3 linked regions of the Arabidopsis thaliana genome follow. The protein of the gene in region 2 purifies or fractionates together with the protein of the main gene of each other region. This does not show direct contact. Each region holds a gene or a part of one and is shown on either strand. Other genes may lie near its edges.

What was found.
Region 1: the proteins of AT3G19480 (region 2) and MTHFR2 fractionate together in Arabidopsis thaliana (co-fractionation; one large-scale study listed by BioGRID). This does not show direct contact.
Region 3: the proteins of AT3G19480 (region 2) and Hop3 fractionate together in Arabidopsis thaliana (co-fractionation; one large-scale study listed by BioGRID). This does not show direct contact.

The regions. Positions count from the first base shown.
Region 1 is NC_003071.7:18,260,528-18,264,281, reverse strand, and holds the start of MTHFR2 (methylenetetrahydrofolate reductase 2), read right to left. Parts: upstream 2,094-3,754; 5' UTR 1,982-2,093; coding exon 1,519-1,981; intron 1,434-1,518; coding exon 1,351-1,433; intron 1,272-1,350; coding exon 1,098-1,271; intron 791-1,097; coding exon 617-790; intron 538-616; coding exon 437-537; intron 340-436; coding exon 228-339; intron 63-227; coding exon 1-62. Other genes in the region: histone-lysine N-methyltransferase ASHH3, read right to left, coding at 3,279-3,344, 3,441-3,489, 3,578-3,668.
Region 2 is NC_003074.8:6,750,323-6,754,076, reverse strand, and holds the start of AT3G19480 (D-3-phosphoglycerate dehydrogenase), read right to left. Parts: upstream 1,656-3,754; 5' UTR 1,488-1,655; coding exon 977-1,487; intron 895-976; coding exon 407-894; intron 331-406; coding exon 235-330; intron 99-234; coding exon 1-98. Other genes in the region: AT3G19470 (F-box and associated interaction domains-containing protein), read right to left, coding at 3,163-3,754. UniProt on the Arabidopsis thaliana protein: Involved in the plastidial phosphorylated pathway of serine biosynthesis (PPSB).
Region 3 is NC_003075.7:7,339,678-7,343,431, forward strand, and holds the start of Hop3 (stress-inducible protein), read right to left. Parts: upstream 1,685-3,754; 5' UTR 1,563-1,684; coding exon 726-1,562; intron 269-725; coding exon 1-268. Other genes in the region: AT4G12410 (SAUR-like auxin-responsive protein family), read right to left, coding at 3,279-3,752. UniProt on the Arabidopsis thaliana protein: Mediates the association of the molecular chaperones HSP70 and HSP90. Mediates nuclear encoded chloroplast preproteins binding to HSP90 prior to chloroplastic sorting. Involved in acclimation to heat.

The sequences.
Region 1 (3,754 bases), on a different chromosome or scaffold from region 2:
CTTTTCAGTGGGACAACCCATTCTTGTTGAAGCTTCTTGTCACGTGCTCGCGGACGTGAGAACTGACAACAAAAGCATTTAGTTCAGCAAACAAGCTCACAAGAAGATGTTACATTTAACAATCTAGAGCAAATCAAAAAGACCAATCGAAGAAATACCCTTCAAAACCCCTTTGTTATGAAATCTTGAAAGAGAGTTGTGCAATTACAGATGATGTATTGTAGTACCTGATGATCCGAGAGTGCACCATATGAAGCACTGCGTGAATCACCCCACCGGCCTTGTGGGAAATCTTCCCAGCCCTTGGTTCTAGAAATGTAGCTCTTTGGACGGTTTGCCCTTCAAAAGATTAGAAGAAAGAACAAGTCTTATTTTCCCTGCAGAGTAAAATATGTGGCTAAGTATAATCAGAACGAGAGAAACTAAGCTCTGTTACCAGAAAATGGGGCGCACATCTTCCTTAGTACGGAAAACATTTGCAGGGCGTCTCCAGGGTAAAGAACGAGAAATTTTGGACTCATCAATCATACCAAGATTCTGAAACAACAACAAAATAGTAAAGCTACTCCACTATCAGTATCATGCTTTACATCAAGTAGAAAAAGTGAGGACCAACCATCAATATTGCAAGAGCAGATTTCTCCATGTTCAATGTGTAGAGATGAAGAGACTTGACTCCATGAGCCAACATCTTTTTACACATCTCTGTTCCAAGGTGAATACCATAGGCTTTCACAGCTTCTTCGTTATCCTTGATAGGCTCCAAGGCAGCCATCACCTCAACTGGTATCTACATTAATATAATCATATGTAAATTCATCTATCTTTTTTTCACAAAAAGCACAGCTGGTATCTACATTAATATAAAGAATTCTCTTTGAATAGCTATCCAACAAACACTTTCTCTGAAAACAATAATATAATCAAGTATCTCAATTTCATCTAGCTGATCACGAAACCTTAAATACACTTTTTTAAAAACATATCCTAAGCTAGCAAACAAACACCTTTATGGAAAGGCAACAAGCAATATCATTCATCTCCTAAAAGGTGATTCATTTGCAGGAACTGGTGTTTACTAAACGATCAAAACTTACCTTAGTCTTGCAGAAACCAGTCATACGCAAAAAGCCTCTGTAGTTATTAATAGGCATAATTCCAGGAACAATGGGACAACTAATCCCAATTTGCCGACAATCATTCACAAACTTGAGGAATATATCAGTATCATAGAAAAGCTGAGTAACAATCAGATCAGCTCCAGCATCAATCTGTTCCAAGACAAACCCAAATTCAAAAATTGATGCAGACATTTAAGAACAAAGCAAAACAAAAACAAACAAAACAAACCTTTTTCTTCAGATACTCAAGATCACTCTGATAAGCTTCATTAGACGCAAGACCATTCTCACCAATAACATCAGGATGCGCCTCTGAAATATCAAAACACATAAAAATCCAATCTTTAGCTACAAATCACACGAAACAAAGAAATCAAATTCGAATTCGAGACATTACCAGGATAACCAGCGACAGTGATACCAAAGTAATCACCATACTTGCTACGAATGTGATTAACAAGATCCAAAGCACAATCAAAACCACCTTCAACCTGAACAAACTTATCTTGACCATGAGGAGGATCACCTCTAAGAGCAAGCACATTCTGAATCCCATTAGATCTAATAGTCTCAAGAGCATGATCAATCTTCTCAACAGGCATGTTAGTACACGTAAGATGCATCATACTCTCAACACAAACAACGTTTTGCATCCTCGAAGCTATATCAAGCGTTAGATCTGCGGTAGATCCACCAGCTCCCCAAGTGATATCGCAAAACGTTGGACCATAAGCAACCATTCGATCCATTCTCTCAAAGAGATTGTCGACTCCATCTTCTGTCTTTGGTGGGAAGAATTCGAAGGAAAACGCTGTTTTGCCTTCGTCGGCTAATGACTGGATCTTATCTATCACCTTCATCTTCTTTTCGAAATGGAGAAGAAGAATGAGAGACAAAGGCGAGTTCTTTCAGGTTCTTCTACTCACTGCTTTATAGTAAACAGAGAGATTCCAAAATGTTTGGTGAATTTTAGACTTTACCTTACCCGTCCACTTCCTTATATTATTTTCATTTTTAAGACAAAATCATACTTTAAATAAAGTATAATTACATAATTTACATTTAATCATTGTTTTGTGCGAAAATCCATGTAGTTAGACAACATGAGTTACATTTTTATGCTTGACAAAAAAAAACATTTTTATTAAAGTGTTTATTATTCAAGAGATTTACCAAACCATTCTAAAGTGAAAAAAATGAAGAATCCGAGTTATTTGATATTAAGATAGTCGAGTTGATATTAGTAAACAAGATGAGTTACATAATTATTTTAAAGGAATGTGATTAGTAAAAGATTTACCAACCACAATTAGATTTGTCGTTATCAATCCCCAACCCCTGCAGTCTATGCTTTTTGAGTTGGTGAACCAGAACCACACACCCACATCACCCACCTACTACCAAAAAACCAATGATCCATCACTTTTGTTTAACAAAAATAATCTACTTTTACCAAAAAAAAAAAAAAAAAAAAAAAATCTAATTAAAATTTTCCGTTTTTCACTTACAGTGTATCTTTAAACTTTACAAAACTTTTTCCAATTTAAAACTGTTATGTTGTTTTAGTAATTTTTCACTTGTTTAACTCATTTTGCATTTGAAGGAATTTGAAACGTTAATCGCTAAAACAAAACTGGTCAGATTTTGCAAACACCGGCTTTTGTCGGCGACACCGACACAGTCACACTCACACAGATGCACGAATAAGAACAGCACATGCAAACAAGAACAAACCGGTCTTTGGATACAAATTTTTAAAAGCTAAACCGGATATGAGATTACCGGTTCTTACAAAGTCAATTACACACCACGAAGGTTCTTGCAAGACATCATCATTTGAGATCCCCATGAAAAAAGAAGGAAGGAGAAGAAAGTACAGATGTGGTTACACAAGTAGATATATGATATCTCTTATAATGGTTGTACAAACACAGGTCACAAGTTAGACGCAACAAACAATGTCACTGCACCAATCCCAGTCAGTCAGACCCGGGTTTTTTGGGATACCTTTAGTTTACCAAGACAGGTTATTTTGGTTTCTCAACTTCAAAGCAATCTGCAGAAACATAGCAGCCAGGGTAATTTAATACTCTATGCTTCTGGGAGTTTTAATGTTTCATTAAGAGAGTGAAGAGTATAAATCACCTGAAAACAATATTAGACAATCTCCCAGTCTTCTCTCGACATGTCGACAAACTCGGTAACACCATCCTCGAACATCACCTGGACCAAGTTTAAAGATGTTAACAGAGAGGTCTTAATTGAGAATGATTTTGCCAAGTTCGATGGTGAGGAACAAGTATTGGCTAATTGTAATACCGAGTGCTTTCTTGAATACTCATCAAAATGTCTAACGAGGCCAAAACACCTGAAAATCTCAAAAGATAAAACATTGGATGAGAAAAGCATAGAATGAGTCATAAAACTAATCCACGAGTTCAAAACTCAATAAATACCTATCACTCGTGGGGCGAGATAACCTGATCACCACACCAATGCAATTACGCGAACATGTATCCCTTTGACTAAGATTGTTCCATGATTTTCCTGGAGAAACATGGGAATCCAAATTACTTTCTTACAACCAAAACACAATAAGCTACTCTCGCAAATTGAGCAGAAAAAATCCAAAC
Region 2 (3,754 bases):
TTCACAGCATTCACACCGCTTCCACCAGTTACCAATTGTACAGCCAGCCTCCCAAGCTTCTCAGCAAGTACAACATACGGCTTCAGCTCCCTCAATACCTGAAAACAGATAGCAACTGAACAGTGTCAGAGAATTTGCAGGACAAATCATTATCACTACTTGCAATATCACCAAGAACTAGAAGAATGAAACTTGATCCTGAATTAAGGACTCTATAGTGAAGTCTGAAATTACCTCTAGTGGAACCATTGGTGCATTGACCGCGGTAGCAGCAAGTTCTCCTCTCAAAGCTCCAATAACAGCTTCTGCGACTTCGATAGACACTCCTTCCTAGGCGTCAAGTAAAGGTTTCAGGAGAGCAGAACAAAATGCACTAAAGGCAAAACGAATATACAGTATGTAATACCTGAGCCTCCATAGTACTAGCACCAAGATGAGGTGTGGCAGTGACACTCTCATGTAACACCAACTTATTATCTTTAACAGGTGGCTCTACTGTAAAAACATCAAGAGCTGCCTGAGCAACAATACCCGAGTCAAGCGCTCTCAAAAGAGCTTCCTCATCAATAACTCCACCACGAGCAACATTAACAATACGGACTCCTTTCTTCATCATCGCAAAGGTCACATCATTCATCATCTTCGAAGTAGCAGCAGTAAGAGGCAGATGCAAAGAGATGAAGTCAGCAGTTGAAATAGCTACTTCAAAACTAACAAGCTCCACACCAATAGCTCGTGCACGATCCGCTGGTGCATAAGGATCATGTGTAATGACATGCATACCAAGTCCCCTGGCTCGTCTAGCAACCTCTGATCCAACTTTACCAAAACCAAGAACAGCAAGAGTCTTCCCCACAAGTGAAACACCTACATACTTGTTTCTCGTCCATTTGCCTACAAACAACCACATTTCTACATTTCACATCGCAATTTCTCAAATCGCTATTCAAATTCAACAACCGTTTAAAACACTCACCAGCTTTGATAGAAGCATCAGCTTGAGCAATGTTTCTAGCCATGGCGGTCAAAAGCGCAATTCCGTGTTCAGCAGCAGCCACAGTGTTCGCAGTCGGAGCATTAACAACCAAACACCCATACTCAGTCGCCGCCGCCAAATCGACGTTATCAATCCCAACACCAGCGCGTCCAACAACCTTAAGCCTCCCACGCGACGATTCAAACACATCTCTCCCAACCTTGGTACCACTCCTGACGATGAGCGCATCACAAAGAGAGATCTTCGTACAAAGCTCCTCGAGACTCAGATCATAAGAGCAATCCACATTAGCGTACTTCTTAAGCAGATCGATCCCCGCTTGGCCTAGCTTCTCCGTTACGAGAATCGTCGGTTTTCCTCCACCTCCGGAAGAAGAAGACGTAACGAGGATGATCCGTCGCCTCTGACGGATGGGAAAAACAGAGGAGGGAGTGGTGACGAGCCTTGAGGAGGAGGAGAAGATCGATGATAGATTCAGAGACGTCGCCATCGCGATGGCGGGAATATAATGTAAGTAAAGGTGTATGTATCGTCAGCAACAGAGTAGAGAGATATGGGTTCATCTTTCGGGTGGGTTTTGTGAGGTTTAAATATGTTGTGCTAGATTACGCTACATCCTTTGTTCACTTATATCTTCACTTCTTAAGTGGATTTTGAAACTTTATATAGAAGAAAAAAAAGTTACAATTTAATAATGGTTTTGCTAATAAAATACAAATATACTACATTCTTAAAACAAAATAATAATATATCAAATATTATACTATTAGGTTATGTGGTTTAAAAATTGAAAAAACACATTTTTTTATATTGATTTTAAATTAAATTATAATATAAATAGAGATACATTTATATATCTATTAGATAAGGCGCGTTTAAGTAAGGCGGATTGTAAAAAATAATGTAAAAGTTATCGATGACATATGAATTCTATATAGTAATATGTATTTTTTTTTAATATTTTTATTTTTTCATGCCTGTTCTTGATAGTTAGCAAGTATATAATATTGAAAGAATTGTATCTCTGTTTCTTTAGATTTAGACATCTTTCATATCGTCAAATGCTGAAAATTTGTCTAACGTTCCAAAACTCTTCTTCCAGTCAAACTTTAGTTTTATTTATTGTTTGATGTAGTAAGAATCTTCTGGTGAAGGGTTTATTAATTGATTTGGCAACTGGCAAGGTCAAAATACTAGGCAGATGTCGTTGGAGGATATCACCAAGTATTGGAAACGCCTTGTGGAACACAAGAGAAATAGTAGTAGCGTAAAGCCTCATGATTCATCAGTCAGTAGCCGCTAAATTTAAGGTAATCATATGAGACATACTAACCACTATTATTTTGTGATATTCGTTGAAAGATAGCAGAATGAGTGGACAGACCACAAGGACAAGCGCTGGTCACCACATTAAGGAAGGGAGTAAACCTGTGGCACACGAAAAATCGTTCTACAAGTCCCTGCTTCAAAATCATTCTACTCCATGCTAGACAATTAGGATAGAACAATAACTAACATGATAAAAGGATTATGCTATAACTTAAATTGGTAAGAAAAACTAAATATATCAAGAGGTATTTTAGCAGCATGTCAAGATCTATATCACTTTTGCAGAAGACGCTGAACAAAGAGGAAGAAGATATGAGCACATTTTATCTGAAATATGAAACACCTAAAATATGAAGTTGATATAGTACAGGGCCATAGTGAAAGCTTTTGTGAGATATCTCAGATAGCTAGCTATCTATTAACCTTAGCCTTGTTCCTTACTAGAAGAAAGAGAAGAGAAACCTCTCTAGTTTTGTCTAATGAACAAAAAGATCACCCGTTCGACTTATCTTTAACTGCTACTGTGTTACAATAGAAAAAGAAAACGATGAACTATCAATACCTAAAGACTCTTGGAAGAAACGATGCATGCTTTCGCGGAGAATGCCAACCAAGAAGCATACAGTTTGCTCCAACTTAAGGGGACTGAAAGTAACAAACGATTAGCTGCAGGGGAAGGAGCGTGTGCACCATTTGGAAACGAATTCAAATATATATGGCAAACAAAAACAAGTATGAGAAACAAGTTAATATGTTATTGACTAACAAATAATGATCTTGTTCAAAGAAGATGACAAAAGAGGAAGAAAAAAAGTAAGCAAGGAATAGATGGTCGACTAATTAAGTTGCACTAGACTTGGAACATAAGAGCACACAAGTGGAAAACACTTTCGGTCTGAATCTCCGAGATCAACTGCTTTAAAGGATCCATCCACTCCAAAGATGTAAGCTATGTTGCGCTTATTATCGTAGTCTTTATCAAAAACCACAGCGACTTTCTTCTCCTCGTCGATGAAGAAACTCCCAAAAGTTAACTGAAACTGAGGGCTGACGAGTTGTTTTAAACTCACTGATAAGAACACCTTGCTGTTCCACGACACAGCGTTGGGCTCAATCTTAGACGTCACCCAGATGTCCAACTGTAAATAATCCCACGGCTGATATAATACAACAAGCTGCTCTTCTCTAACACTAGATACACTCATAGTATCTTCAGAAACAGCAAACTCAAACGGAAGAGGCAAAGGCGGCCCAAATGTCTCGCTTGTGAAATCAAAACAGAGTAAGAAAAAATGGTCTGTGTCCATTGTTTCGGTATAATTCTCTCTAGCAAACCAGTAGGCATTTCCCTTGAGAGACACGCCATGGAGCATTTGCCATAAGTGCCACTCCGGAGTTACATCAAGATCCCTCCATAAGTCAGAGTTA
Region 3 (3,754 bases), on a different chromosome or scaffold from region 2:
CTATCGTAGGATCAAAGTACTCCTGTTGCTCCAGCTCTTTCTTGACTTTCTCAGCATCGTTCAGTTTCTTCAATGTATCTGGATTACGATGCTCTGTAAGAGCTTTCTGGAAAGTCTCAATCGCAGGCTCAAAGTCTTTCGAGCATCTCGCCATTTTCACTAGAGCAGATCCTTTTCTAGTCAGAGCTCTTGCTATCATCTTGAAGTCAGAACGAAGTTCTCTGCCTCTTTCAACAGCCTTGTCACAGTCTTCAATGCACTCCTCGTACTGATAATTTCATTTGAGAAATGAAGTAAAACATCACACAAGATACAGTAAGATCCAGATGAACCAACTGTTAATTAAACAAGACTAATGCAAGAACACATAGACCAATGGAATTGAACCACTCAGGATACTTGAAGATTAATTGATTCCAGTAATAATAAAGATAACCACTTCTACAGAACAAGTGAATAAACTCCATCATGAAGCCATAAACCCTAAATTTCTACCTCATCTAAAGCTAACTACTTTCAGCACAAGTGAAAACTTAAGTTCAAAACTCTTAAATCTCCAACAAGAAGCAGATGAAAGTTATCAAAACCCATCAAGGTCATCACAAATGTACTAACTAGTGACAAGCTATACTAAACAGATAAGCTACTTCAAGAACCCAAGATCTCCTCCTTAATCTTAAAGTACCTAAAGGTTTAACTTTTAAGCCAAGTATAAGACTTAATACCTTCCCCATCTCAAGATAAACAGCAGCACGATTCGTCAAATACGAAATATCCTCATCATCGAGCTCCATGGCCTTAGTATAATGTTCAACAGCTCTCCCAAAATCCTTCTTCTTATAAGCAACATTTCCTTCCCCTTTCTCCTTCAAAGCCTTCTCCTTTCTCTCCTTCTTCTGCCTCTCCTCCTCCGTCAACTCCATAGGTTCCATCTCCGGTTCAGGCTCTTTCCTCTCATCAGCCTCCTTCATCTCAGTATCTTCACCACTAGATCCACCAAACTTCACATTCAACAAAACCCCTAAAGCCTTCATAACTCTCTTATCCTTCATATACAAATTAAGATTATTAGGGTTCCTCTGAATCTCCTTCATCGTCTTAACAAAATCATCCTGCTCCAAATAAACCCTAGTCCCCGGATCCGCCGTCAACTTCTCCCACATCTCCTTCCCTTGAAACGCATCAACAAAAGGATTCGACTTTGACGAAACCCTAGATCTCGAAGCATCAGCTAATCCCGATTTAAGCATCTCATTACTCGGATCAATCTCTAATCCTTTCTTATACGAATCAACCGCTTCATCAAACTTGGACAATCCAATAAACGCAGCACCTAATCGGCTATATCCTTTAGACCAATCAGGTTTAAGCTCTATAGTCTTCTTCGCGTCTGATAAAGCTTCTTCGTAACGGTGGAGAGAAGCGTAAGAAGCGGATCTGTTTGAGTAGAGGATGTGATTGGTTGGTGAAAGGTTGATTGCTTCTGTGAAATGGGTTATTGCGGTGGCGTAATCGCCGGAAGAGAAAGCTGCGTTTCCTTTGGATTTTGCTTCTTCCGCCATTGAATTGGATTTGGTTTAGGTATCGTGAGAATCTGCTTGATTGCATTTTTAAAAACAGAGGAAGATGAAGAAGAAGGCACAAGAGAGTTCTCGAAATTTCGAATTTTTTTGTGTATGTCGAGAATGTTCTTTTGTAGCCGTGGAAAAATGTTTTTAAATCTTAAAAATACAAAAGGAAAAGAAACGCTAGAGAAAGGGGTCGAACCTCTGACCTTGTGGTTAACAGCCACACGCTCTAACCAACTGAGCTACTCCAGCTTTTTGATAAGTGATTCGTTATTTATGTAAATATACCGTCTAGAAAAGAATAAACATCCGTTTATGTTCTGTGCTTACTTTTTTATGCTATGTCTTTGTCTTCTGTCAGAAGATTAAGCGTCAGAAAGACATCGTGGAGTTAGCAACGAGACGATCAAAATTCTTCAATCCGAAGTAGTAGTAAACCAGAGGTGAGAAGACGACCAGTTTGGGAGAGAAAACCAAATCGGAGGTATGTATGGTGATTAAAGTTTTGGTTATGATAAATAATATCATCATAAGCGAATAGTTTTGTACGTTTTTGGTTTAGGTTTTAATCAAATGTGTCTTTACTTTTAATAAGTTTAGGTTTGATATTTGGTTTTTTTGTTTTTTTCTAAACATACCACATATAATCATATATATTAATACTCAAAGAACAAGTAGTACATGGTTTCTCCAAATACTTGTAACCAACCAAAGTGGTAAACTACAATCTAAAAAGCAAAATACAAATCACATGAAGATGCAAATTTAGCAAGTGCATCTCCTCTGCACATTTGTTCTCACCTCATCTTCTAAATTTTAACATATTTGATCACTTTCCTACAATATGATTTGAATTTGTATTCAAATTTGGGAAATTTTGAAAATTACCACCTTTATGATACCATTTTTCAAAAAGACCAGAAAAAGGTTGTTCAAAAATTCTAGTTTCATATCATTTCTTAAGAAAAATCTTCTAAGCACTATAAAACATTAAAAATTTTGTGAAAAATCTTATAAATGTTTGATATTATGCATTATAGAAACTTTATAAACGTTTTTATAATATGCTCTATAAAAGTTAATAAAACAAATTCTATGATTGCATTTTGTGTTACATTGAAAATTAACAAAAAAAAAAAACAGTGGTATTATTAAAAAAAAATAAAAATCATAAAAGTGGTATCTCAAAAATTCTTCTGAAATATATTTAGATAGAAGTAATTTCATAATTAACATTATATGGAAATTCTAAATATTGATTGTTTCACTTCAATTGGGGTTTATAGTGGATGATAGGTTTCAGATACAGCAATACACCATCACTCACTGTATTTGATATATTGAAATATAAGTATTCAAAAATACTGATAGCCCAATTTCAGTTTTTTCTGTTTTTTTTTTTTAATTTCAGTTTTTATGTGTGTAATTTTATAAGTTAGAACATAATTTCAGTTTTGTTCTAACTTATAAAATTACACACATAAATCTAAACCATATAGTATTATAGGATGTCAATGTGGTCTATCATCCATGAAATAAACTGATACAAATAATTATCTTGTATTTATGAATCGGTATTTATCGTATAACATAGATGGTAAAAAAAACTAATATTCACAAATTAAAGGAAATCATCCTTCTCTGTACTGTATAAGTGTATATAAATTTTTTTAATCCTCTTTTGATTTTTGACTATTTTATAAATTCAAATTATATAATCTTGTAAGAATTTTTCCTGCGGCAATGATCCCATGCAGCGATCCTCAACTGGACTTTTTCAAAATCCGAAACCCGACAAGGAATAGTGATCCGACCCGGTTGATCAAACCCATGAACCCGCTCCGCTTGCTCCAACAATTCTCCAAACAATGGATGATTAAAGTAAATCACCGGCACCACAACTCGCCGCGTGTCATCGTCTGATTCGCCGACATGAACCACCAAATGTCCTCGAGGAACAACCCGGTTCGACTTTTTCGGATCCTTACCCAACCGGATCTGATTCTGACCCGGATTCTTCTTGCTTCCACCGCACAATCTCTTAGCTCCACGGCTTAAACACCGTGCTAATGACCGGATTCCGGTAACCGGGTTTGTGATTCGGGTCGGGCATCTGTTTCTTGGTATCCATTTGAAAATTTTGACAAATCTGTGTCCAATTTTGAACCCTCTGACTCTCTTCATGC